3 linked regions of the Drosophila melanogaster genome follow. The protein of the gene in region 3 interacts with the protein of the main gene of each other region in a pairwise test. Each region holds a gene or a part of one and is shown on either strand. Other genes may lie near its edges.

The links.
Region 1: the proteins of Alms1a (region 3) and Vtld interact in a two-hybrid assay, tested with the Drosophila melanogaster proteins (one large-scale study listed by BioGRID).
Region 2: the proteins of Alms1a (region 3) and CG32369 interact in a two-hybrid assay, tested with the Drosophila melanogaster proteins (one large-scale study listed by BioGRID).

The regions. Positions count from the first base shown.
Region 1 is NT_037436.4:19,757,264-19,763,607, reverse strand, and holds Vtld (viral tegument-like deubiquitinase), read right to left. Parts: upstream 3,200-6,344; 5' UTR 2,778-3,199; coding exon 1,971-2,777; 3' UTR 1,791-1,970; downstream 1-1,790. Other genes in the region: Gyc76C (guanylyl cyclase at 76C), read left to right, coding at 5,378-5,545, 5,686-5,883, 6,007-6,072.
Region 2 is NT_037436.4:7,805,231-7,812,641, forward strand, and holds the start of CG32369 (uncharacterized protein), read right to left. Parts: upstream 4,596-7,411; 5' UTR 3,767-4,595; intron 1-3,766.
Region 3 is NC_004354.4:4,629,122-4,639,257, forward strand, and holds Alms1a (alstrom syndrome 1a), read right to left. Parts: upstream 6,884-10,136; 5' UTR 6,780-6,883; coding exon 4,757-6,779; intron 4,704-4,756; coding exon 3,697-4,703; intron 3,626-3,696; coding exon 2,899-3,625; intron 2,842-2,898; coding exon 2,693-2,841; intron 2,610-2,692; coding exon 2,547-2,609; 3' UTR 1,931-2,546; downstream 1-1,930. Other genes in the region: Alms1b (alstrom syndrome 1b), read right to left, coding at 1-565, 619-1,762; pon (partner of numb), read left to right, coding at 7,332-7,796, 7,991-9,538. UniProt on the Drosophila melanogaster protein: In asymmetrically dividing germline stem cells (GSCs), plays a critical role in ensuring centrosome duplication, which is essential for the production of centrosomes and centrioles in all downstream germ cells.

The sequences.
Region 1 (6,344 bases), on a different chromosome or scaffold from region 3:
GATTGATTTGGAAGTGAAACTGATAATGCTGCTGTCATATGATATGGTATGATATGGCATGATATGGTATGATATGATACGGTATGGTATGGTATGGCGGTATGCCTGGTGATGTAGGACTTTAAACCCACCCGGCAGTGAGTCAACTAGTGGATTCGATGACAATTGTCGGCGGCAGAAGCACGCACATTGTGATGGTGCGTGATATTTGTGTTTATATAGCACCCCCCTGGCAAACCCCCACATTTTTGGTTCCTCAAAAATCGCCACTTCACCCACTTTGCCTGCGAGGAGCTCCCCTGGTGATGTTTGTTTGTCGATATATGTGCAATGTAATGTCGTGTTGGTTTATCCAACGGCCAATGGATTGTCGTGTTCGCGTCTGGTTTCTATTTTTAGTATGCAGGTTTTATTTTTAGACAACTCGACAATTTGTACGCACATACATAAGTATGAATGTATGTGTGTATACACACGTGCAGCAGCAAAAAACTTCGTCTGAAAAGTGCAATAAAGACGGTTCCCCGCCGCCGACTGCAACTTGTTGCGCTGTGCGACAGAGAGGATGGACGGAGTGAGAGAGATGGAGACGGAGACAGCCAGAGAGCAAGAGAACAAGAGAGCATCATGTTAAATGCGGCCCACGTTGCGGCTACGCGATTTTTATATTTTCACATTACACAACTTGTAGCTCTTTATTTGTTGATTACAACTCAGTTGCACGCTCTCTCCCTCTGCGATTTCCTCTCTCATTTTGTCTATTTCTCTGTTTTGGCCTCTCCGCGGCTGCTTTTCACATTTAACGTTAAACGTTTTATCACGTCTTGCGCCTCGGTTTTCGATTTGTTTCTCATATTTTCTTTGATATGTGGCTCTATTTTTAGACGCTCCTCCTTTGCCCCTCGCCTTCTCCTCTTCACTAGCTCTCTCTTTCTCTCTCTCTCTCGCACTCTCTGTTTACTTTATAAATATTTAAATTGTTGTCACGTACTAAGTTCTTAATAGGTTACGTTATGTGTTTATTTAACTCATTTTGATTAGAAGTCGAGAAAAATACGGCAGAGCCACACGCGCACCGCATACTCGTCGCTCGATTCCCGTTACAAAGTTCAACTTTAACTCTTGCGCCTTTGTTATTAAAGCCACTCGACTTTCGGTTAGCTGGGGTGGCCAAAACAGCAAACAGCCCACATCCGCTAATGCATAAAATCCCCCACACAGATGTTCGGCTCTCCCGAACTAATTGTTTACTCAAGTGTAATTAGGTAAGAGGAATAGAAAATAGGCAAATATCAACAGAAAGGTAAATACATACGTGCTCACAATTAAATAATTTCTATATCATTATTTAGTTCAGCATTAATTAGGAGTTAAATTTTTCATACGTTCACATGTATGTACATAACAACATGGAAAGTTGTTTAGGTGACTTGCAAAAGTATATTGTCTTCATTCTTTGAATCCGACGATTAACTGCGTGCCTTAAAGAACTTTTAACTAAACGATAGAGAACATTATTGTCCTCTTGTCCGACTCTTTGATACCAGTTACTTAGCTCAACGACCAAGAAGTTTCTACTTCTTAGCAGTTCCAGCTAACTGTTTATAGCTCCTAAGATTTCGATGATTATACGGACAACAAACAGACGGACATTGAGAGACTGCACTTATACTTTATAGGGTCGGAAATCAATCTTGTATCAACCTTGAACAGACTAGACTTACCATATAGCTAAATCTTGCAAAATCTGTCTTTAAGGATACAATGCAAATTGGAGTTCGTTATTTATTAGTTGATGGTCAACAGAGAATTTTGAATTAAATTTCTAAACGCTTAACACACAAATTTTGCTATATGAAACTTGAGATTTTGTCCTAAAATAGCCCCAAAAATGGGTTCCGAAAGGTTGGCCCGCGCCTAGATCGACGTCCTTGGATGTTGGCGACTTTGTAGTAAACCTGGCAACATGATTAGTGCTTAGGCATGTTCATCTTAAACGGCTTCTTCAGGTCTGCGGCAATCTTTTTTTGGATGGCCGGCGGAATGTTCTTGGCCACCCCCGGCTGAGAGCTGAGGAAGGAGATTTCGAAGAGCGAGGGCCGGCTGGAGTAGACATTGTGTAACATGCTGATGAACCAGAAGAGCAGGTCGTCCATGTTCTCGAGCGTGCACTGGGCGAAGACGGCTCCCGCATCCCGGCCGTGTTGGTGGGAGTCGAAGAGGGCGACGATCGAGGCTCGGAAATCGAAGGTTACCATCACCGTTCGACTGTCCGCTATGATGGCGGCGAAGAGGTTAGTGGGTACATTGTTTCGCACGCTGGCGTGCTGGAACATCTGGAGTGTTATCTGGAAAACCCGCGACAACTGCACAGCAACGTTCCGGTTGTACATGGGATTGCTGGGATCGGCCTCCATGTGCGTGTAAAACCACTCCTCCAGCCGGAAGTTCATCTTGTGCTGCGACCGAATGGCGGCGATAGCATCCGGAATGTTGAGGTTGAGATTCCTGGCGTGCGGCGTATTAGTTGTAATCACATTGTGGTACACGCTGTTTCCGTCGTTAATGGCGTTGCCGAAGAGCTCCCATCCCCGCAGCGGCAGATCGGAGACCCTGTGATAGAATCTGTCCGCCTTGGCCACCTTGTCGGCCAGTATTAGGGAAATGATGGTGCAGGAGTTGGTGCCGCTCCGCTGGAACTCCCCGAATCGCGACTGACAGAAGTCGCGCGGAAACCACCAGATGTTCAGGTTGTCGATCTGCTCGTGAATGGCCATGGCGCCGGGTTTTTGATCGCCCGGGGATCGGTTGTTGGTCCTCGGATCCTGTGTTCAGCGACGTCTTAATCTTAGGTTGCGTTTCCGGATCCTGGTGCTCCGGAGACGCAGTGGTAAACCCGGCCCTGGCGCTGTTTCCGTAGTGCCACTGTCACATAGTTCGCAAGTGCAATGACCCCTAGGCTTCAAGGCGCACGTGTGGGTATAGAGTTGGTGGTTTATGTGGGGATCTAGTGATCGAACCCGTCAACAGCACTATGTCCTCGGATTCGGGATCGAGCTCAGGATTGCCGCAACTCCTCTCCACTCCACTACGCTCTAAGCACGGGCTTTGGATTTCAAGTAAACATCGAATTTTGAGTGTCTTTTGCCGGAGGAGCGTTCGACGGGTAAAGGTGAAAACTTTCGAGTCGGAAAGACAAAAATTTCTAGACCAACAACTGACAAATAACGAACATGATGTGAGATTTCAGACCTACGGGGATCTGATTATGAAAATGAGAGCCCATTTGACGCAATTTGAAAAGGTATTGCTACGTTCTTATAGGTCCTTGAATATAGTATTTCCATTTTACATTTAAAGTAATTGTAATAGTTGAAACTATATGATTATTCCAACAAATTTTAAGGTGTTCTAGCTCTATGTGAGCATTACACCTTACTATGCTAAAGGAGTACATTCAGAGTTTTTCAATTAGCTTAGTTAAAAACTCATCAATGAAATTGAAATGGTTTTTAGATTTTGTCTACTTCAGCGCAACAGCTATTTACATCCATGATACCGACTTAAGTATTTTTTAACTTAAATAGGTTGTTTATAGACCAATCTATATACGTATTAAACAAGAAGATCTGCTAATCTAGATTCTAGGAAAGACGATTTCCGCCTTAGCCACACATAAATGTATTCAAATGCCATTCTTGGAAACGCGTTTCGCATTGTGTCAAAATGGTGCGCAAATATTTATCAGTGGCGCCCAAATTTAGCTAGCCCAGCCAAGTAGTTCTAATTTTAAATTGCAACATTGAAGAATATACAGCTTAAAAAACAAAAACAAATATGGTTTGCGAAGTGTGTCGAAAATGCAAATTTATGGCTGGCTGCTTGAGCATTTTGTTGATTGAGATTGGGGTGCTCTAAAGATTACCCGCGTCTAAGTGGCTACACTTTGAATTCCTCGTGAATATTTGTTTGAAATTATCAGGAAAATTTGTGAATTCCTAAGGTTTTCCTAAGTCTCTTATCATGTCTTAAGGATTGGTTTTGCTTTTAATTAAACTCAGCTTATGGCTTTTCAAAGCAATTCGATATTAATCAATTTTATGTTCTATTGCTGGAAATTTAATGTGCTCCACAGTTAACCGATGTCCCAGTCGTTTGTGGCAACTTTTTTTTAAATTAACTATAATCAAATAGTTGCCCTACATTCCGTTATATACTGGCTTTCGCATTTCTTTTATTCTTTTAATTAAACTTACACGTGAGCCTGTTAAAAAAAAAAAAAAAGACAAACAGGGATGAACGCCATCATCCGACCGAACAGTTGAGTAATCCAATCCCATGGAATAAGCTTTCGCTTTAGCGCAAACAATCAGGACAATGCTGTGGGGAGGGATTGTGTTGGCGTGGACAGGGATAATAACAAACATATGTCTGAAACGAAATCGCCGGCGATATATATATTTAATGCCTCAAACGAAATTGCATAATGGCAAAATCAACGCATGCATAATTAATAATAACAAGCTGTGCGCTCCGCATTATGGGCCTCCATTCCGGAGGATACATATGTACGAATGTATATGGCATTCCTTGGTGGAAAAAGGCCTCTGCAGTAGCTGATAAGCTACTTATCAGTGATTCGCTCCCAATTCCCATGGCAAAGAACTGAACAGCCTAATTAAAAAATTCCTAAGCTCGTTTCGGCTGCCGACGGACGAGTGGTCAACGATATTGAAGTTGGACATTCCAACATTTGACATTTCCCTGCGTGGGCACTTGCCTGGCATCCGGTTGCCTGTTGGAGTACACCCAGCGTCATTTCCCTTTTGCGTCCTTTGCGACACTCAGCAGTTCCAGCTTATTGATAAACAGAGAAAAATAATCGTCCTACTTGATTCCCAATTTAGTTTGGTATTTTTGAGTAAAGCAGTTGTTTAAATAAGCTAAGAATTGATATAGTATGTTAATTTCGAACGTAATTGCTTAAGAATACATTTATTTTAGAGTCTTTAATATTATATCCTGCCATAATTTATTCTCTGTGTCCTGGGCAGTCGGACTGCAGCTGCTTTCCAGCTTCTCTGCCTTGCAGCTCTTTCGTCTGAATCAAGCCAAGTGTCTGAAATGCGTTCAGCATGCTGTTTTCTATTTGTGTTTGCCTTTGTCAAACATGCATTTTTATTATGCAAAGGGGTCCTTGGCAGTTTCAATTGCGTCCTCACTTAGCTTCGGCTCGGTCCTGCTCCTCGCGCAACGCTTCTGCTCCTGTCTCTGGTCCTACTCTCAACTGATCCTTCTTCTCCGTTCCCATCATTGCAGTGTGAGAATCCGTTGGGACCCATAGGCGTCGCGCTGAACGGCCCCGGCCTAAGGGGCCATGACGCGTTGGCCCTTTAATCTACTACTCTTGCTGTCGGTGGCGGTACGCGACTGTAGCAATCATCGCACCGTCCTCACTGTCGGCTACCTAACGGCCCTCACTGGCGATCTCAAGACGCGTCAGGGACTGGCCATTTCCGGTGCCCTGACTATGGCCCTGGATGAGGTAAGTACTAGCTTCGATTTATTTGTAATAATAGCAAATATCTGAACTCGATAGTATTCAAACTGCGTCATCAAAGTTGTACCTTTTTTTTTTTAGATAGAATTGTTATTGAAAGTCTTTCGTTTTCGTTCCGGAAACAGGTCAACAAAGATCCCAATCTTCTGCCAAATGTGTACCTGGATCTGCGCTGGAATGACACCAAGGGGGACACGGTACTGGCCACCAAGGCCATCACCGAGATGATATGCGATGGCATCGCCACCATTTTTGGCCCGGAAGGACCTTGCTATGTGGAGGCCATCGTCTCGCAGAGTCGAAACATTCCAATGATTTCCTACGTATGTATTTTAAGCTCCTGACTTATGACGCCTCCCCGCAGCGGCGGGTGCAGACAATTTCACGCACCACATTTTTCATGCAAGTGAAGTTCTTATTTCTTTTCGTTTTCCCCCTTTCAACAGAAATGTGCAGAGTACCGTGCATCCGCCATACCGACATTCGCCCGCACCGAGCCGCCAGATACACAGGTGAGCAAGAGCCGGGAGCAACAGGTGGATGGATGGATGTGTGGGTGGTTGGGTTCAAGACGAGACGAGACGAGGAGGCGGGTCGGGGTGGCCTTCCTTGCGGTGGCTTTGAGTCTCGACAGGCACAGCCATTTAGCCTCGGATTATCCTCAAACCGGGGACAACAAACGCCAGAATGAGAAGGACAAAAGAAGAGTACGAACGCCCGCAAGAGAAAAACAATGCAATGTTTTGCCAGAAGAAATGGGTAGTGAGAATACAAAATAATAAGA
Region 2 (7,411 bases), on a different chromosome or scaffold from region 3:
CCCTGGAAGCCGTAGAAAGCCAAACTAAATCCATTAAATCGCCGCAAGGTAGGGCATAGAATAGAATCGCAACCAGGCGGCGGCACATGCTATTACATAATATTATGAAAATTAACACTGAATCACATAGAGCGAACTGACGCGGACGCTGGCTAAAGTAACGAAATCAAAATCATCGGCACACAGATACTTTTTATACCAATACTTGCGCACGTCTACCTTCTCTTAGCCGTTCTCTCTTACGTTCTCTTTACGAGAACCATTTCAGCGTGTATTTGTGAGATACGAATAGAGAGTAGCTCATTAAAGAGAATCTGTTTTTGTTTTTGTCTGGTTTTTGGCTTGTTACGGTTTTATTTTATTTTTGATTGTGCGCACGTTTTGCTTTTGACGTCGTTCGTATTGTATCTTTAAGATAAACAATGCCGGCATAACACACGGATACAGATACAGCGCACTCTCACACACCTGCAAAGTTCGGTTTGCCTTCGCATTCTGGTTTTGTTATGTAAACAATTTTTTGGTTTGTCGTCCGCCCGGCATCAAGATCGCTCTTCCTTCTCTTGCTTTTTTGTTCTTTTTTTTGGCTCATAATTTGTTTACATTTGCAAAGGCAATCAAAAGTGTGCCAAAATAAAATGAAACTACAAAGCTGCGTGAAAATGAAATTTTTAGTTTTTCTTCATTGGCAGCGATATTAAAACGCACACAGAAACACGGGCAAAATCATTTTTATATCAGGCGATTTCTGCTTTTGCATAAATCTCGTTGTTAAGTAATGCTGAAATATCTTATAAGTTGGTAGTTAGCCAAGAAAATGAATTTATCAAGGGTGTGTTTATATGTCCGCAGATATACGATCTACATGAGACTTTCTGATCGAGTTGGCGACCCAAAAAATATAATGAAAATTAAACACGCATGTTATATTCGGAATAGAATTTCGGCTGCAGGTTACATAAGATCTGGGTAGGTATTATTTCTTTTTTTTTTTTTTTGGTTAGATTAGACAGATAATACACTTTCAAACGAACGAGTTACTGGCAATAGAAGATAAGAGATAGAAAATTTGAAATAAAGTGGGATTATTATGAGGGTCAATAAATCGTCAGCATGAAACTCAAAAATATAGAAATTAATTGGATAATATCTACTTAATGTTTCAGTCAGTTGGAGCTGATCACGACGTGACCTTAAGTCCTCACTCACATTTAAGTTCCCTGTATATTGTACTTGAAATTCACGAATTCGCCCTGCAGAAATTTCCCTTTCGAAAGCAATTTACTGATATCGATATTGTAGCACTCGAGAGAACTCACTTTCTGATCATTTTAAGCAAAACAGCGCAATCTCCGCCTCGGAAACGAAACCATATAAGCAGTATATATAAATAGAGAGGTAACGAACGAGATTGAGATAGGGAGCTCCAACTTTCATATCAGCTGGCATTGTGAAACATTGTATTGGACAAGGGAAAAGTTGGTAAACAAGCCAGAAGGCACTCGATTCTAATTGTTCCTGTTGCCGCTCGGCTTTGCGTAAGTAAAAATTATGTATACGCCTCATATAACTGCACGTGCATCCTGGTGCAATCGTGGTTGCAGTTCCGTGTACGTAAAGTCCTATTGCATAATCCGTATCCGATAAATTGTTCCTAAGTGAATAACAAATATGTGAAGCCCGGCTACCTGAACACGCCCTCAGGGCAATAGCTTATAGCGTAGATTGCTTTATTTTTCACAATATTATGCAATGTCAATCGTAGATACAAACAACCGTTGTCCGTCGTCACTCAGACAAAATGGCAGCGTTGACATATAATATGTGTATATAGCTACATTTACAACGGCGTTTGTCAGTATTCTAAGTCAACTGAATTCAGGCATTGTTTGCCTTAAGTCCGATAAGTGATTGTAGGCGCGCAGTGATTGAAGTCGATAAAGGAACTTACAGCACTAAATGTGATAAACTCATTGAGCGATTGTTGAAATAATTACTATTTGCTTGCTTGTAAAGAACTGATTGAAAACGACAGTTGTTCTGTATCAACTATGAAATTGCTATCTTATGAAAATGAGTCAACAAATGATTCATCTTCATGAACATTCATGTACCCAAATACGATATGAGCAACAGCTCAGGTGTGGAAATTCCTACAAAGTTGTTTAAGTCTTTCACCAATTTCCTAAAATCCCAAGAACTTCTGATAGAGTTCTTTAATCGCCAAGTAATCACGCCACATAAGCCAATAAATTGCATAACCAAGTGATTATGCTCCGATGGTAGTTTTCGACGTAATTATGAAATCGCATACATTTTCATTGCCTTAATGTTGGCGTTTATTTGGTTTTGTACATTTTGATTTCTTCTTTGATATTTGTTTTATTGGTTTCTCATTTGTCTTGCCGTTTTTTGCTTGGCTCACACGTTTTATGACATTGTATTCGAATGGACGACAATGACGACGGCGATAAACGCTGATATAAATAGCTCAAAATAACTACAAAAGAAACTGGGCTGAAGAATTTATTGAGGCAAGCCAATTAGCAACCAAAAATTTCTACATAGTTTGTGATTTTTCAGGTTTTCGGTTTTGATTTCACACCGATTACACAAGAACCCCCACATTCGCTGTGACTAATTGGCCCGGTCCCTTTGGGCCTTACATAAGTTCGGTGTAGTGTTTGACTTGGTTTATATAACAACGATCCAGCTGTTTGAAGTCTGGCTTCCTCGATATTCGACTCTGAGTCATGACGAACCTTTTTCGCCCGATGACGTATGCAAATAGGTTTTTCCTCTTTTCGAGCTAACCATATTTTTTCAGCATTTCCCCAACCCCTTTGGCGTTTTTCGTTTTGGGCCAAGTGGGCGAACTGTGTTGTTGCGGCTTGTTCATTGGCAGCAAACGTCGCATAATACTCGTAGTACATTGCGTGTCGTAACGCTAAACGTCAACCGAGTGAGAGGGGCATATGCGGTCGAGGGGGGGAGAGGGAAGGAGCCCAGTTTCTCGCTTTGGTAGCTGACGAATATTGGGTGGTGACCCCGACAAATTGGCGAATCTTTAGTAGATTATCGGGGATTGGAAACTGTTAACCAGAGAATTACGAAAGCGATGACAACGCGACAGATTCAAGGAAAATGAATGAAATGAAAATGAAAAAAACTGACGTTTTTTTTTACCAGTTATATTTTATATACTTTAACTTTGTATATAAAATTTGTGTCAACTATAATTTAACGAGGTTGAATTGTTTATTTTCTTAATTTTACTTCTTTTAAAATTCCCAAATCGTTCTTTCCACCATTTGTTTTTTGCTTATCTGAGCTAATTTATCGCGAAATCGTTAAGATATATATTTTTCCACGGAAGTTTTATCACACATTAAATATAAATGATTATCAAGTGCAGGCCGAATTCAATTGGCCACAGAACGTCAACAAAGCAGCGCGGAAAAAACGCTTAGTAATGCCTTTAAAAATATGGCAACACGTAAGAGCCGCCCCTGCAGTTTTCCCTCCGCTAGACTCAAGCAGTGCACTTTTTGTTTTCACAATCATTGCAGATAGCAAATGAAAAACTGTTTTCCCCGACAAAGAGCGAAAAACTAAGAGAGAGACTTGAATGTGCCAATCTTTGAAAACGCAACTTTGTCGAGCGTTCATTCACATTGAAAACAGAGGCATAGCATGTGGTTTGATGTCGTAACACACACAAAGAGAACCCGAAAGAGTGGCAAAGAGAGCGCAGAAATGGAATTACCTGTCGCTGTTGAACCGCGCCTCCTTGTTTTTCCCCAAAAAAGGGTAGGTTTTTCGCGGGGGGTGCGGCGTGTACTGTTGCTCAAGAATCACACACAGACACACACACTAACACACGAAATTCTCCCTCTTCTTCTTGCAATTTATTTAAAATTTTGTTGTTGTATTTAGTTGTATATATTTTTGTTTGCCAAAAATTTATAGCCACACGCGTGCGAAAAAATCGAATTGGGGAATCTATTCACTCGTGTTATGTGTTGTTTGATATTTATATATATTTTTTTTTTTGTTTTGTAAGAACTTGGAACGGCGCTTGTCCGTCGGCTTTACGTAACCCCGCCGCACACACGGGTTAACTTTTTTTCTTTCTTTCTCGTAAAGGGTGTGCGGCAATTTGGGGGGGGCTGCACTTGGACCCCCTTTTTATATTTTGTGACTAATTTATTTATTTCATTTATTCACACCGAGAAACACGCGAGCGAGCACCTTTATTTTATTTTATTTATTTCTTTGATTACGTTGGCGTTTGTTTTGTAATACGCTTACGTTACGCGACGAGACAGAAAGAGAGAGAGCGAACGCACTGGGCGAAAGAAATAGCGACAACAGCAGCAACGGCGGCAACGTGTTCGAGTGGCTCGGCGATGATTTGCTTATGGGGTGCGCTCCACTTTGTTGCTTTTTTATTTGCCTTTTTTATTATTCATACTTTTTTTTTGTATAATTTTTATTATTTTGCTTTTTGTATTTGTATTACGGCCTGGTTTTTTTTTTCAAACTCTCCCTGCTGTCTGAACTTGCCACGGCCGCTGTTCAACAGCGAATGACTGCTGTGAAAAGTCAGTCGTTGGCTTGGAGCGAAAAATTGGCGCTCTCTTTTGGGGTCGACTCTCTTACGCCTCCGTGGATGTGTCTGTTGCGTCATCGATGTCTGTGCCTTGAGCTCTCTTTGTTTAGCACTTCTCTCTCTGGCATTTTATTTTTTTTTTTAATTTTTGCCGGCAAACCGTCAACTGTCACAACAGGCGACGCCAAGAAAAATGATGGGGCAGCGGGGGCTGCGGTGGGTGATTTGCAAAACTATTGGGTTGGGGGATAGTGGGTGGTGTTGGGGGTGCTAGTTTGCCAGTGGGCGTCATTTATCGTATGATGCGCATTTCCGGCGCCACTCAACAGACTACAGCCATATAAACACCAAGCAAACATCAATAATCACAACAGATACGGTCGATTTTCTGTTACTTAAACTAAATTACATATATAAAATTTTGTAATTTTGTTTAATACGCAAATATAGTTTTTAGATTATGTAAAATAGAATAAAAGCTTACTCAAATAACTTATAAAATTAATAACGAAATTTGTATAACAAAATACACAATAGATTAAACTGTGAAAATATAAGTTGATTAATTCTCAGACATGTCATTACAAGATGTATTAATTTTATAATCCTTAAACAGGTTTTGAAGCTATAGATTTCCTATCCCGATAGAGCTCAGAGTTGTTAAAGTTCGTCTGTAATATCGAATATCTGCGTTTCGTAAGTGTTGTGTGGCTATTACATATTGTTTTGTCATTTAACGCAAATTACGTATACGACGCGTTGACCTCATTTGGGTTGATCAACAAATGCAGTTGTCGACAAACTTGGCTTATAACAACCGCGTATCGCTTCCCCTCCCCCTACTTCCCGTCTTTCTCTTTTGGCTCCGCTTGGCTTGTATTTCAAGCTCAAGTTCAACGTTGTCTGTTAGCGGTTGCCTGCATACTACCAGTTTTCATGCTGCTGCTGCTGCTGCTGCTGCTGCGTTTCCATTAACATTTTGAGTGGCCGTTGTTGTTAACTCATTTTTCGCTTTCGTAAGTCTTGGACAGTATAAAAATATGCGGGGCGGGCGAGTGGAGTCCGCTTATGTTTGAGCATTGCTCGCATTTATTGCAACATTTCCCCATAGGGAAGTAATCGAATTGCTTTGCCTCAGGTCTGGGTCTGGTTTAAGCCTGCATTCAAAAAAAAAACAAAGCTTGAAAGTTTACAGATTAAAACATATTAAAATTAACAAAATTTATTCTAATATATATTTTCAAATTTCTGAGTTGTAGAATCTCAATAATCTTTAATTGTTTAGCAATTAACGTTATTTTAGTAGTACCATATATTTTAATACCATGTACAATTATATAATTAAATTTTGACTGTGTACCGGTTATACAGCTCCCATTTCTCAAATAGTTGGCGCTGCTTTTGTTGTTCATCAACGGAAATTAGCTGCGAGTTTCATGTTTGAAATGTTTATTTTGTAAGCAATATATGAGGAAATTAGTTTCAGTTTTTTTTTTTTGCTTTATTATGTTTTTTGCATAATAGTGTATATCACCGATTTGGGCTTTGGTTCAGCTGAATTTGAAATAGGTGTGTGAAGCTGACAAACAAATTATTTATTTTTTTTCGTTGTTTTAGTGAATGTTAATTGAAGTCGGGCGAGTTTCGTTTGTTGCCAAGTGGAAGTGAGAATTTGTCTTATGATTGGAATCCATGGAAGTTTTTCCACAGATTAAATGTTGAATGGTATACATTGTTTTAGAATGCGCATTTTATCCGAACTTGAAGTTCGTCATTTCAGTTCTTGAGTTTCCGGCAGCTTTATTTAGCGACATGTCAACTGCACCCAACAGTTTTAACAGCTTATCTCATATCCAGTTACCATTTTCAGATCCTCTCTCCACTCACCAATTATGCAATCAACTTGACCTCCAGTTACTCAAAACTGTGTATTCCAGCTGCTTTGAAGGCCAACCACTCTGTTTTGACAATGCTGCCCCGAAGTTGGCTATTCGTTCAGAGGAAAAAACTCGCCTAATGGTATACCACAAAATCCACAGAAAAATGAAACAGTTTTTATCATTTTTTTTTTTGCATTTATCGTTTCAAAATTTGTATCTAAACCTTTATTGTTTGTTCTTTCTTGCAGTTTTCGTAAAACATAATTATTCGCCTTGCCTTAATCTCACTTCTTATCTCTTGAAGTTCCTACTAATTAAATTCAGTTTCTATTACGAAATTAAAGACCATAACAGAAGCATAACTTTCTCATTCGGTTAACAAAATCTACAAAAACTTATACAGAATGTTATGGAACTCAATATGAATTAAGTTGAGTGTAAAATAATTAACAAATGACTTGACATTAGGTAGTAAATTATAGCTAATCTGCAGCATCTCGAGCACTTCTGTTGGAGTTTCTTTAGGTTTTCTCTTTTGTTTTTTTTTTTTTAGATTTATTTTGGTTTTGTATATATATCTAGGTACATGTTAGTGTCCTTGCTTAGGCTTTCATCTTTACGTTTTAGCTTAAATTTGGTTTTCATTCGTATTCATTTTTTGTGTTTTGCATGCTGCCAACAACAATTAGGCTGAGTTTCTTGTGGATTTCTTTTTAGCATTGCTCTAATGCCTTAAGCTGATCTTTTACTAAGTGTTTTGAGTACCAAATGAAGTTATCTTGCCTTTTCTTAGGCTTTAAGTTATGCTTTGATCTAGCTTTCGTTTACGCCTCAACTTAAGCTATGGTAGCCTTGTGTTATTTATGAATTTACCTTCAGCTTTTTACGCTTTTCACATATAAAATTATTTGCATTTCGT
Region 3 (10,136 bases):
ATCTCTTTGCTCTCTGCTTCAGCTGACATTTCTTGTCGCAGAAGATATTCCTTGTCCGGTCGCTCCTTCTGGTCGCCCATACATCGCATGGAACTTGGAATCTGCGCAGCCGTCGCAGATTCCGTGTTTGCTTTCTTCTGCGACTTGCTGGGCAAACTGATACTTTCCAAAAGATTTTTAAATTCCTGCATGCGATTAATCTCTGTCTTGACCCAGTGGAGCTGCCTCCTTCGCTCCGAATCCGTGCCACCTTTCAAACGCTCTTCGAACTCTATTTCACTCAGGGTCATGGGATTCAGCCAATCCTGCAAATCCAAAGGCTCAATATCTGCATCCGTTGAGGCATTGCGATTCGGTATATTTGTCTTCTGGGTGATCACCTCGCCTGAGCCACTGGTTGAGCCACTGTACGATACGCTTTCAGGCAGTGGCGAAGATGATCCGATAGCTGCTCGCTTTCGTGGAGCGGGAACTGGTGGAGCAATACGTTCAGCTTTGGATGAGCTTCTCGCATTGGATTGGTTCGTATTGGTGGCCGCAACTTGCTGCAGAGAACCTGTAGGCACTGTTTAAAGTATGAATTACTACAAATGCCACCTTGTTGAAGAGTTTACTCACCCTTCAACTGCTCCTTGCTGCTGCTGCTCAGGGAACGCGAACTAGTGCTGGATTCGGTCAGTTCCAGACAGGAGATACGCCTGGCTATATCACGGACGAGTTTTTTCTTCTGTCCCTGGCTGAGGCTGCGAGATTTTACCAGAGAACAGACCAACTCGATTCCTATATCCAATACCCCTCGCGGTCTACTACCGGATCCAACGTCTAATGAAGTGGTTGATGAGGAGGCTGTGACGCCGGTGGAGGGATTTACTACAGGGTTCTCGGGCTGCTGGTTCTCCTTGCTCACATGCCGCCTATTGCCCCGAATTTTCTCGAACTGAGCCGCCGTGTACTGTCGCTCTTGCTCGCGCACCTTTTCGCGCTTTGTAGCTTTTCTTTGGTCCCTCGTGAGTTGCTGAATTCCTTGCTGTTCCCTTTCCAGTTGATGATCCTTTTCATGGCGCTGTTTAGCTTTCCTTTGGTCTCTCATGAGTGGCTGAATTTCTTGCTGCTCCCTTTCCGGATGATGAATGTCCGTCTGACAAGAGCTAACTTTGGAATCCTGTCTCCTGGATTTACATTGGCACTTCTTTGTGTGTTTGTGTGACTTATGGACAGACTCTAGTGTCTGGGTTTTTTTGTTTTGCATCTGGGGCGACTTGATAGGTCTGCGAATGTCCCCCGCGGATTGGGACATGGTTTGGGTAACTGCTACGGAACGAAAACTGGGGCTACTGGCCAATACAATAGGAATTATAGTGTATTCATTCGGTTTCGTCTGAGTTACTTCCGATTTCGGTGATGTGAACTGACTGATGTTGTGCTTACTGGGTGGTGGTGAAACTGACAGTTCCCGGAGCTGTTCCTTTGCTTCCCCCCGTTCGTCAGGTGAACGATGATCGCTGCTCTTCGTGCGACGCCTGTGGCCTGATTCTGGTCGCGCTTCATGTTCCATGGAGGCACATCCTGGCGGCTGGACTGATCCCAGGGCACAACTTTGGGTGCTGCCACTGGCTCCACTGCTTGCCGTCGACGAAAGGGCCATGAATCGATCCAATTCCCGGTCCGTGGCCATTGCGCTGATATAATAATCCCCGGGTGGTGGATGAACGCGGGTTAACTTCGCCGGTCTGTTATCTCGGGAACCAAACTTCTTAAACATTCGGACTGTTTCTTGGCTCTAATTGTCGAAAAAGTTTATTTCCCTGCTATATTCCAATTCGCCAGAGACTAGTTTGATGTGACGCAAAAATCATTCGAAAACGCAGCACAAGTTTGTTGACCAATGTTGCCACGCCCACTCTAACGCCCACAAACAGCACGTGTGTTTATATTTTTCTCAAATTTTTATTAGTCTTGTAAATTTCTATAGATTTGCTAATCAACTTTTTGCCACGCCCACTCTAATGGCCTAAAGCCGAACAATTTTTAAACTTTTTCTCATTTTATTCCCCAATATCTATCGATATCCTAGAAAAATTATGAAATTTCGCGTTCGCATTCACACCAGCTGGAGTAACAGGTATCTGATAGTCGGGGAACTCGACTATAGCAGTCTCTCTCTCCTATTAATTTGTTCAAAATGCCATTACATTTTCCTAAAGTACATATTGAGATGATAATCAATAAAATATCAATAAAAATATAATATATAATATATATCGATCGTCAACCCGTGCTCAATTTATTTCTTTTAAAAACATTACAAATTTAGTCAAATGCTAAATCAACATAGTTTTCTATGTTTGGAGTTAACTGGCCGTCTACATTAAATTTAAACATTACGTATGGACTAAACCATACGTGCTTCGGGATTTAAACAATTGTGATCAATTAAAAGCTATAGAAAAATACAAAGCCTAGCACTGGCAATAGCATAATAATGAAAAACTATAACTGGTGGGTGTCATTTCGGTGGCTGTGGAAAAATCCTGATTCGATCTTCTCTACATGATTGCCATGCTGTGATTCAGGGATATCTGTCCGCTGGCCACGCGACTTTTGAGGCGCTGTTTGGATAAATGGGATTTAGGAATTTATGAGATTTTAAATATATGGACAAATCGGGTTGAATGGGTGTTCATTGTCTGACCTTGTTGAAGACATCGCGCATCAAACGATTGGAGCGACGTCTCTGCTCCTCCTCCTGGCGACTTTGGGCGGCCAACACTTCCGGCAAATTTTTGCACCGTTTGGAGGTTATCGCCTTCATTTCCCTGGTGGTAAATAACCTAACTCGAGCTGCAAGTTAAGAAATGTAGTTATTATTCGGACTTCGGATTCCATTTGATATCTTACTATTGGCTGGTGGAGGCAGCTGCTCCAGATGCCTGTTCAGCGCCTCCATGCTGGTACTCTGGCTCAAAACATTGTCCAGCTCCTGGCGCCGAGCATTGCGAATCATCTGCATCTCATTAAGTATGGCCTTGCGCTGCTTGGCATTGGCACAGAATTCGGGACGAGCCAGCTGCAGTTGATCCTGCAGGGAGGGAGGTTTCTCAATCACCTCACTGCTGCCCGTCGGCGTAAACTGGATGACATAGGATATAGCACGTGGACGCACTTGTAGCGTTTGGCGTTGCATACTCTCTGCATTCATCGTGGTCTCCTTGTGCCCTCTTCGCACCCGCTGACATGCCACATCATCGTACTGATGAGTGGTGGTCGTAGTGGTGGTCTCACAGGTGTTCATCATGCCCATGGGTACGGACATGTCCGAGCTGATGCACATCATCGAGGACGATGAATTTGTGGTGGTTGTGGTCGATCTGGTGATTGCCGAGCCTCCTGCTCCACCAGTTGCACTTGCTTCATTTTGTGTCTCTGTGCTCACCATTGTTGCTTGCACATAGCTAGCTACTCCCTGAGAGTTGACCACCTGGTAGTAGATGGCTTCATTCTTATCCGCGCCGGAGCTACCACTCTGGTGTGGAGTGGCATAGGCACTTCCCGCCGCCTGGGCGTACTGCATCTGCATATATTGCTCACGTTCATCGGGCTGCTCCTCTGCTTCCTGTTGACGCCTCTGTGAAAAAGAAAGAGATGGCTTGAGTATGAGGAAGTCGCAGGATTCCTTTTATTGGGCAATAGCCTTACCGGACAATTCTGCTGATGAATGCAAGTCCGCTGGTGACCACATTGAGCACACTGACCGCAATGTTGCTGCCTCTGTATCAATATATCTTTTTGCTGGTTCAGCTGCTTCTGCAGCTGGTAAAGTTTCTGTTGCTGAAGCAATACAAACTGTTGCTGCTGCTGGTTCTGATAATGCTCGCGGAACTGACGCTGCCTTTGCTGGACAAAGGAGCAGACACTTTCGCTGCGACCGCCGCCACTGGTAGAGCTACCTGAGACAAGTAAAGGAGTGGCCATCTTTTTACGGTTCTGCAGATTCCGCTGGTTAAGGTGAGGAGGTGGTGGTGGTGGTTGTGTCGGGGGCGGTGCTGGCAGTGTGGAAGGATCAGAATTGGTCACATTCACTCCAACCGATTCAATTCTCACTGGGGGCGGCGGTGTTGTTGTTGTTTCCGAATTTTCCATCTCTTTGCTCTCTGCTTCAGCTGACATTTCTTGTCGCAGAAGATATTCCTTGTCCGGTCGCTCCTTCTGGTCGCCCATACATCGCATGGAACTTGGAATCTGCGCAGCCGTCGCAGATTCCGTGTTTGCTTTCTTCTGCGACTTGCTGGGCAAACTGATATTTTCCAAAAGATTCTTAAATTCCTGCATGCGATTAATCTCTGTCTTGACCCAGTGGAGCTGCCTCCTTCGCTCCGAATCCGTGCCACCTTTCAAACGCTCTTCGAACTCTATTTCACTCAGGGTCATGGGATTCAGCCAATCCTGCAAATCCAAAGGCTCAATATCTGCATCCGTTGAGGCATTGCGATTCGGTATATTTGTCTTCTGGGTGATCACCTCGCCTGAGCCACTGGTTGAGCCACTGTACGATACGCTTTCAGGCAGTGGCGAAGATGATCCGATAGCTGCTCGCTTTCGTGGAGCGGGAACTGGTGGAGCAATACGTTCAGCTTTGGATGAGCTTCTCGCATTGGATTGGTTCGTATTGGTGGCCGCAACTTGCTGCAGAGAACCTGTAGGCACTGTTTAAAGTATGAATTACTACAAATGCCACCTTGTTGAAGAGTTTACTCACCCTTCAACTGCTCCTTGCTGCTGCTGCTCAGGGAACGCGAACTAGTGCTGGATTCGGTCAGTTCCAGACAGGAGATACGCCTGGCTATATCACGGACGAGTTTTTTCTTCTGTCCCTGGCTGAGGCTGCGAGATTTTACCAAAGAACACAGCAAATCGATTCCTAGATCCAATTCCCCTCCCGGTCTACTACCGGATCCAACGTCTAATGAGGTGGTTGATGTGGAGGCTGTAACGCCGGTGGAGGGATTTACTACAGGGTTCTCGGGCTTCTGGTTCTCCTTGTTCACATGCCGCCTATTGCTCCGAATTTTCTCGAACTGAGCCGCCGTGTACTGTCGCTCTTGCTCGCGCTCCTTTTCGCGCTTTTTAGCTTTTCTTTGGCCCTTCGAGAGTTGCTGGATTCCTTGCTGTTCCCTTTCCAGTTGATGATCCTTTTCATGGCGCTGTTCAGCTTTCCTTTGGTCTCTCATGAGTGGCTGAATTTCTTGCTGCTCCCTTCCCGAATGATGATTCTTGTCCTTTAGTTCTCTTCCCTTTGGTTCCCCTTGTTGCATATCATTTTGGTGCTGCTCTTTTTCCAGTTGCTTCTTTGGCTCAACCTCCATCTCTTGTTGTCTCCTTTGATTGTGTTTGAGCACCTCGACTTCCTGCGCCATATGCATGTGATAATCAAAGCTACTGGCCGACAAACTGCCGTACACCGAGTTGGTTTGTGATTCCCGCCTTGAACTGGAACGCGAGCTCTCCACCCTTGAGCTGACTTCTGATCCCAATCTGGAGCTATTTGGCGAGTTGAGCCTGGAGTCGTCTCTTCTGTAACTGCTCAGCGATTCCCTCCGCGAGCTACTCACCGATGGCCTGCGAGAACTTATCTGTGGATCTTGTACTCGCGAACTAATCCTTAAATCGTCTTTCTTACGCCTGTCAATTGATTCTTCTTCTTCCATTATGGAGTCAATTTCGGTATCATTTCTATTGTAACTGCATTGGGTACCTTCTGTTGTAAAATTTCCACGAATATCTTTTGCTTCAGAACTGCCTTGGGTTGACTCCTTTTGCGAGCTGCTGCGACAGTCCGTCTGACAAGAGCTAACTTCGGAATCCTGTCTCCTGGATTTACGTTGGCACTTCTTTCTAGGATCTCCTTTATTGGAGCTCAATGAACTTTCCATTCCAGAGTTTAGAGACTTCGTGCGTTCGCTGCGATTGACAAACGTGCTGCAAGCCAGTGGCGGCGTTGGCTTATCCAACATTGGTGACGGTTCCTCGGCCAAAAGGGGCTGCACTCCATCCAAATTCGCCTCGGGTCGCTGCTGTGTTGGCTGACGCCAGCTGCAATCCTCCAAAACGGATCGCTCCAGCGTGCTGATGTTACTCATGGACATTGCCCTCTTGCAGTAGCCCACATCGGCAGAAGGATCCCACTCCAGGCGTTTGTGTGACTTAAGGACAGACTCTGGTGTCTGCGTTTTTTTGTTTTGCATCTGGGGCGACTTGGTAGGTGTGCGTATGTCCTCCGCGGATTGGGACATGGTTTGGGTGACTGCTACGGAACGAAAACTGGGGCTACTGGCCAATACAATAGGAATTATAGTGTATTCATTCGGTTTCGTCTTAGTTACTTCCGATTTCGGTGATGTGAACTGACTGATTTTGTGCTTACTGGGTGGTGGTGAAACTGACAGTTCCCGGAGCTGTTCCTTTGCTTCCCCCCGTTCGTCAGGTGAACGATGATCGCTGCTCTTCGTGCGACGCCTGTGGCCTGATTCTGGTCGCGATTCATGTTCCATGGAGGCACATCCTGGCGGCGGGACTGATCCCAGGGCACAACTGTGGGTGCTGCCACTGGCTCCACTGCTTGCCGTCGACGAAAGGGCCATGAATCGATCTAATTCCCGGTCCGTGGCCATTGCGCTGATATATTCCCTAGCTAGTGGAGGAACGCGGGATGATTCCGCCAATTTGTTATGGCGAGAACCGGACATCATCACCTTTCCGACTGCTCCTCTCTTCGCTCTCATGGTCGAAAAAGTTTATTCCCCTTCAATATGTCAGTTCGCCACATGGAAGCAGCGTTAGAAACTAGTTTGATGTGACGCTAAAATCATTCGAAAACAAATTGAGCCACCTGATATCGAAAGTTATCGCCTATCGGTGGCGATAGTTGGTTAGATGCCTTTGTTATCGATATCGATTATTTTGGTTAAAATTACATTACATTACATTTTCCTAAAGTACATACTGAAATGTTAAAATCAATGAAAAAAGCATATATAATATATATACTATTATGTACATAATTCAAATAAAGCATTTGGTTAGTTGATACAAGTGAATAAGTAAAAAATTTTATTAACAGCAATGTAATATGGGATTAACAGGGCCTATTGAGAACCGGTTCGGACGCAGTGTTGGCTAACGATGCAACCGGTTCCGGTTGTCTGTGGATTTTCAAAATGGCATTTGGTGTCGTACTGCGTTGTTTATAATTGCTCCTCGCTGCTCTAGAAAAACAATTTGAATCTGATTAAAGAAACTTAAGATATACACATCGACTTGTGATCGACTGAATAATGCTGGAGACGAAGAGCATAGCTGCATTGGCTTTCACGGAGACGCCGCGCAAACGCAAAAGGGAGACGCTCTATAAAAATGCTGCCCCGCCCCCGAATCCGCAGCAACAACCCCCAGAAAAGGACGCACAGGATGCAGCTGTCGCGTCGACAGAATCCTGCTTCACCAACGCCGCCTTCAGTTCCACGCCCAAGAAGCTAATGGTGGCTCGTCGTCGTTTGGCCAAGGAGAATAGCCAACCCAATCCGTTTCCCGGCTTGGAGGTCAAGTCCATAGCTGATCTGGCCCAGAAGCAGCAGCACCAGCAGCATCATCAGCAGCAGCAACAACAACAACAAAAGCTACCCACGAATCCTTTTGAGGTCCTGCGCCAGCCGCCCAAGAAGAAGAAGCGCGAGCATGCCTGCTTCGAGAATCCTGGCCTGAATTTGGAGCTGCCCGAGAAGCAGTTCAATCCATATGAGGTGAGTTCACTAGTCTAATCGTACATGGATGTACTTTTTGTCGCAGTTAAGTTACAGTAGAAATCATTCATATGTGTTTGTTTTCTAAATAAAACAATATCTTTATAATCTATATATTAAAAACTACATAAAAATCATACATTTATTATATATAGCTATAGAATATTATTATAACTCAGCCATAATATTTTTAGGTCGTCCGCTCGGCAACCACGCCCGCCAAGGGCTTCGTGAATCCTGCCCTGAATTTGCGCGGCAGTGATGCGCCGGCCTCGCTCAATCCCTTCGAGATCCATCGGCCCAGCGAGGCGTCCGAGGCAGCCTGCAATCCCTCGGGTGTGGCCAATCCGGCACTGGCCGATAGGGATTCGGAGGAGCAGCTGCCCACCAGCCTGAAGATCGGCTTGCCATTCACGCCAACGCTGGGCTGTCGCATCGATTTTCACGGCATGTCCCTTACGCAGCTAACGCCTAGCAAGCTGCTGGCCGAGAAGCTGGTCTTTTCGCCCGTTCCGGCGCCCAAACGATCGCTGGGCGCCATCAGCGAGGAGTCGTCTATGGACATTGGCAAGGAGCTGGATCGCTATCAACTGGAATTGGAGAACAGCATCAACGAGGCGAAGCTACGGAAGAATGGCGTGCTGGTGGATAGAGAGTTGCCCAGGAATAGCTTGGAGGTGGAACTGCCCAAGAACACCAAGGTCTCCTTGGTCATGGAGACCAATACGCAGGAGCTGATGATGCAGGAAGTGGTGACGGTGGACACTCAAGTGGAGAGGCGTCTGGTTTGCACCAGACGACGCACACTAACCGAGATTAGCGAGGCTTCCGAGGTGGAAGAGGACACGGAGAAGCTGCTCGAGCAGGACCGCGAAGCAGAGGTGATTCTCGAGCAGGAGAAGATTCTAGAGCAGGAGATGGTCTCAGAGCGGGAACGACATTTAACGAGGGAGAAGCAATTGAAGCAGGAGAAACTCCTAGAGAGGGAAAAACATTTGGAGCGAGAGAAGCTGCAGGAGAAGCTGCACGAGCAGCTCAGGGAAAAGCTCCAGGAGAGGGCCAAGCATCTGGAGAAGGAGAAGCTGGAGGAGGAGGAGCTCCTGGAAAGGCAGCTAGAAGAGGAACGGGAAAAGGAGCCAACCGACGGCGATGTGGCCTATGCCTCCGAATCCGAATCCGACGACGAGCCCGATGATCTAGACTTCAAGGCACCCGCGCGCTTCGTTCGCGCCTACAGACCCGCCGCTCTGCCCTCCAAGGCGGCCAGCAAGGAGTCGCTGCAGTCCATCGGATCAAGCAAGTCCGCCAAATCGGCAGAAGTTAAGCCCAGTATCGGAATGAAAGGCATGATAAGAAAGTCCATTCGAAGACTGATGCATCCCACGTCGCACACCACGCCATCCGAGGTAAAGTCCGAGGACAAGGATGAACATGGACATGGACAGGGCCATGGACAGCACAACATACTCAATAGCATTCGGCACAGCCTGCGCAGGAGGCCACAAAAGGCGGCCGAGTTGGAGGAGCAAATGGAGCCCGTTCTCGCCGACGTCTCCATTATCGACACCAGCGAACGGACCATGAAGCTCCGCTCGAGCGTTGCCCAAACCGAGTACATGACCATCGAGCAGCTGACCAACGAGAAGAAGCACTCACTGCGGAACAGCATTAGGCGGTCCACGCGGGACGTGCTGCGCCATGTGTTCCACAAGAGTCACGATGCCTATGCAACCGCCAAGTGAGCAGGTTGGCTCCACAGATTCAATTGGTGCGTCGATTTTTAGGGGATTTCAAATGGCATTTCTGTAACCGAAAGCATTTAAATTTATTTGTTATTATTTTTGAAATGCGCCTTCCCCTTGTTGAATTGACCCAATTGACTTCTTTTCAATTCGATTTTTCAGCACCTAGTTAAGTTTTTAATTGCACCCAAAGATTGTCACACAAGACCAGCGAAAAAAGGAAAGGAAACCTTATTTCATCTGAAAACCACATCATCACCTAGTTTTTAATCAAGTTTTTTTTCTTAATTTTTCAAGCGAACTCTGCAAATTAATTTGCACACTGTTTATAGTTTTAAGTTACTTGATGTTTGCACGTTTATTCATATATGTATGTATGTATGTTTGCCCATATATCTTTATATATATATATATATATGCTTTCTAATATATATAACATTTGTTTTTTTATACATAAACGTGTGATTTCCTATTCTTGGACCGATTTTTCCGACTAATTTGTGTGTACAGATGCATCAATTTAATGCTAATGACTAGCAAACATTTAAGTTGATAAGTTAATATACTTGCTTAGCTTATGGACATTTTTGTATAGCTT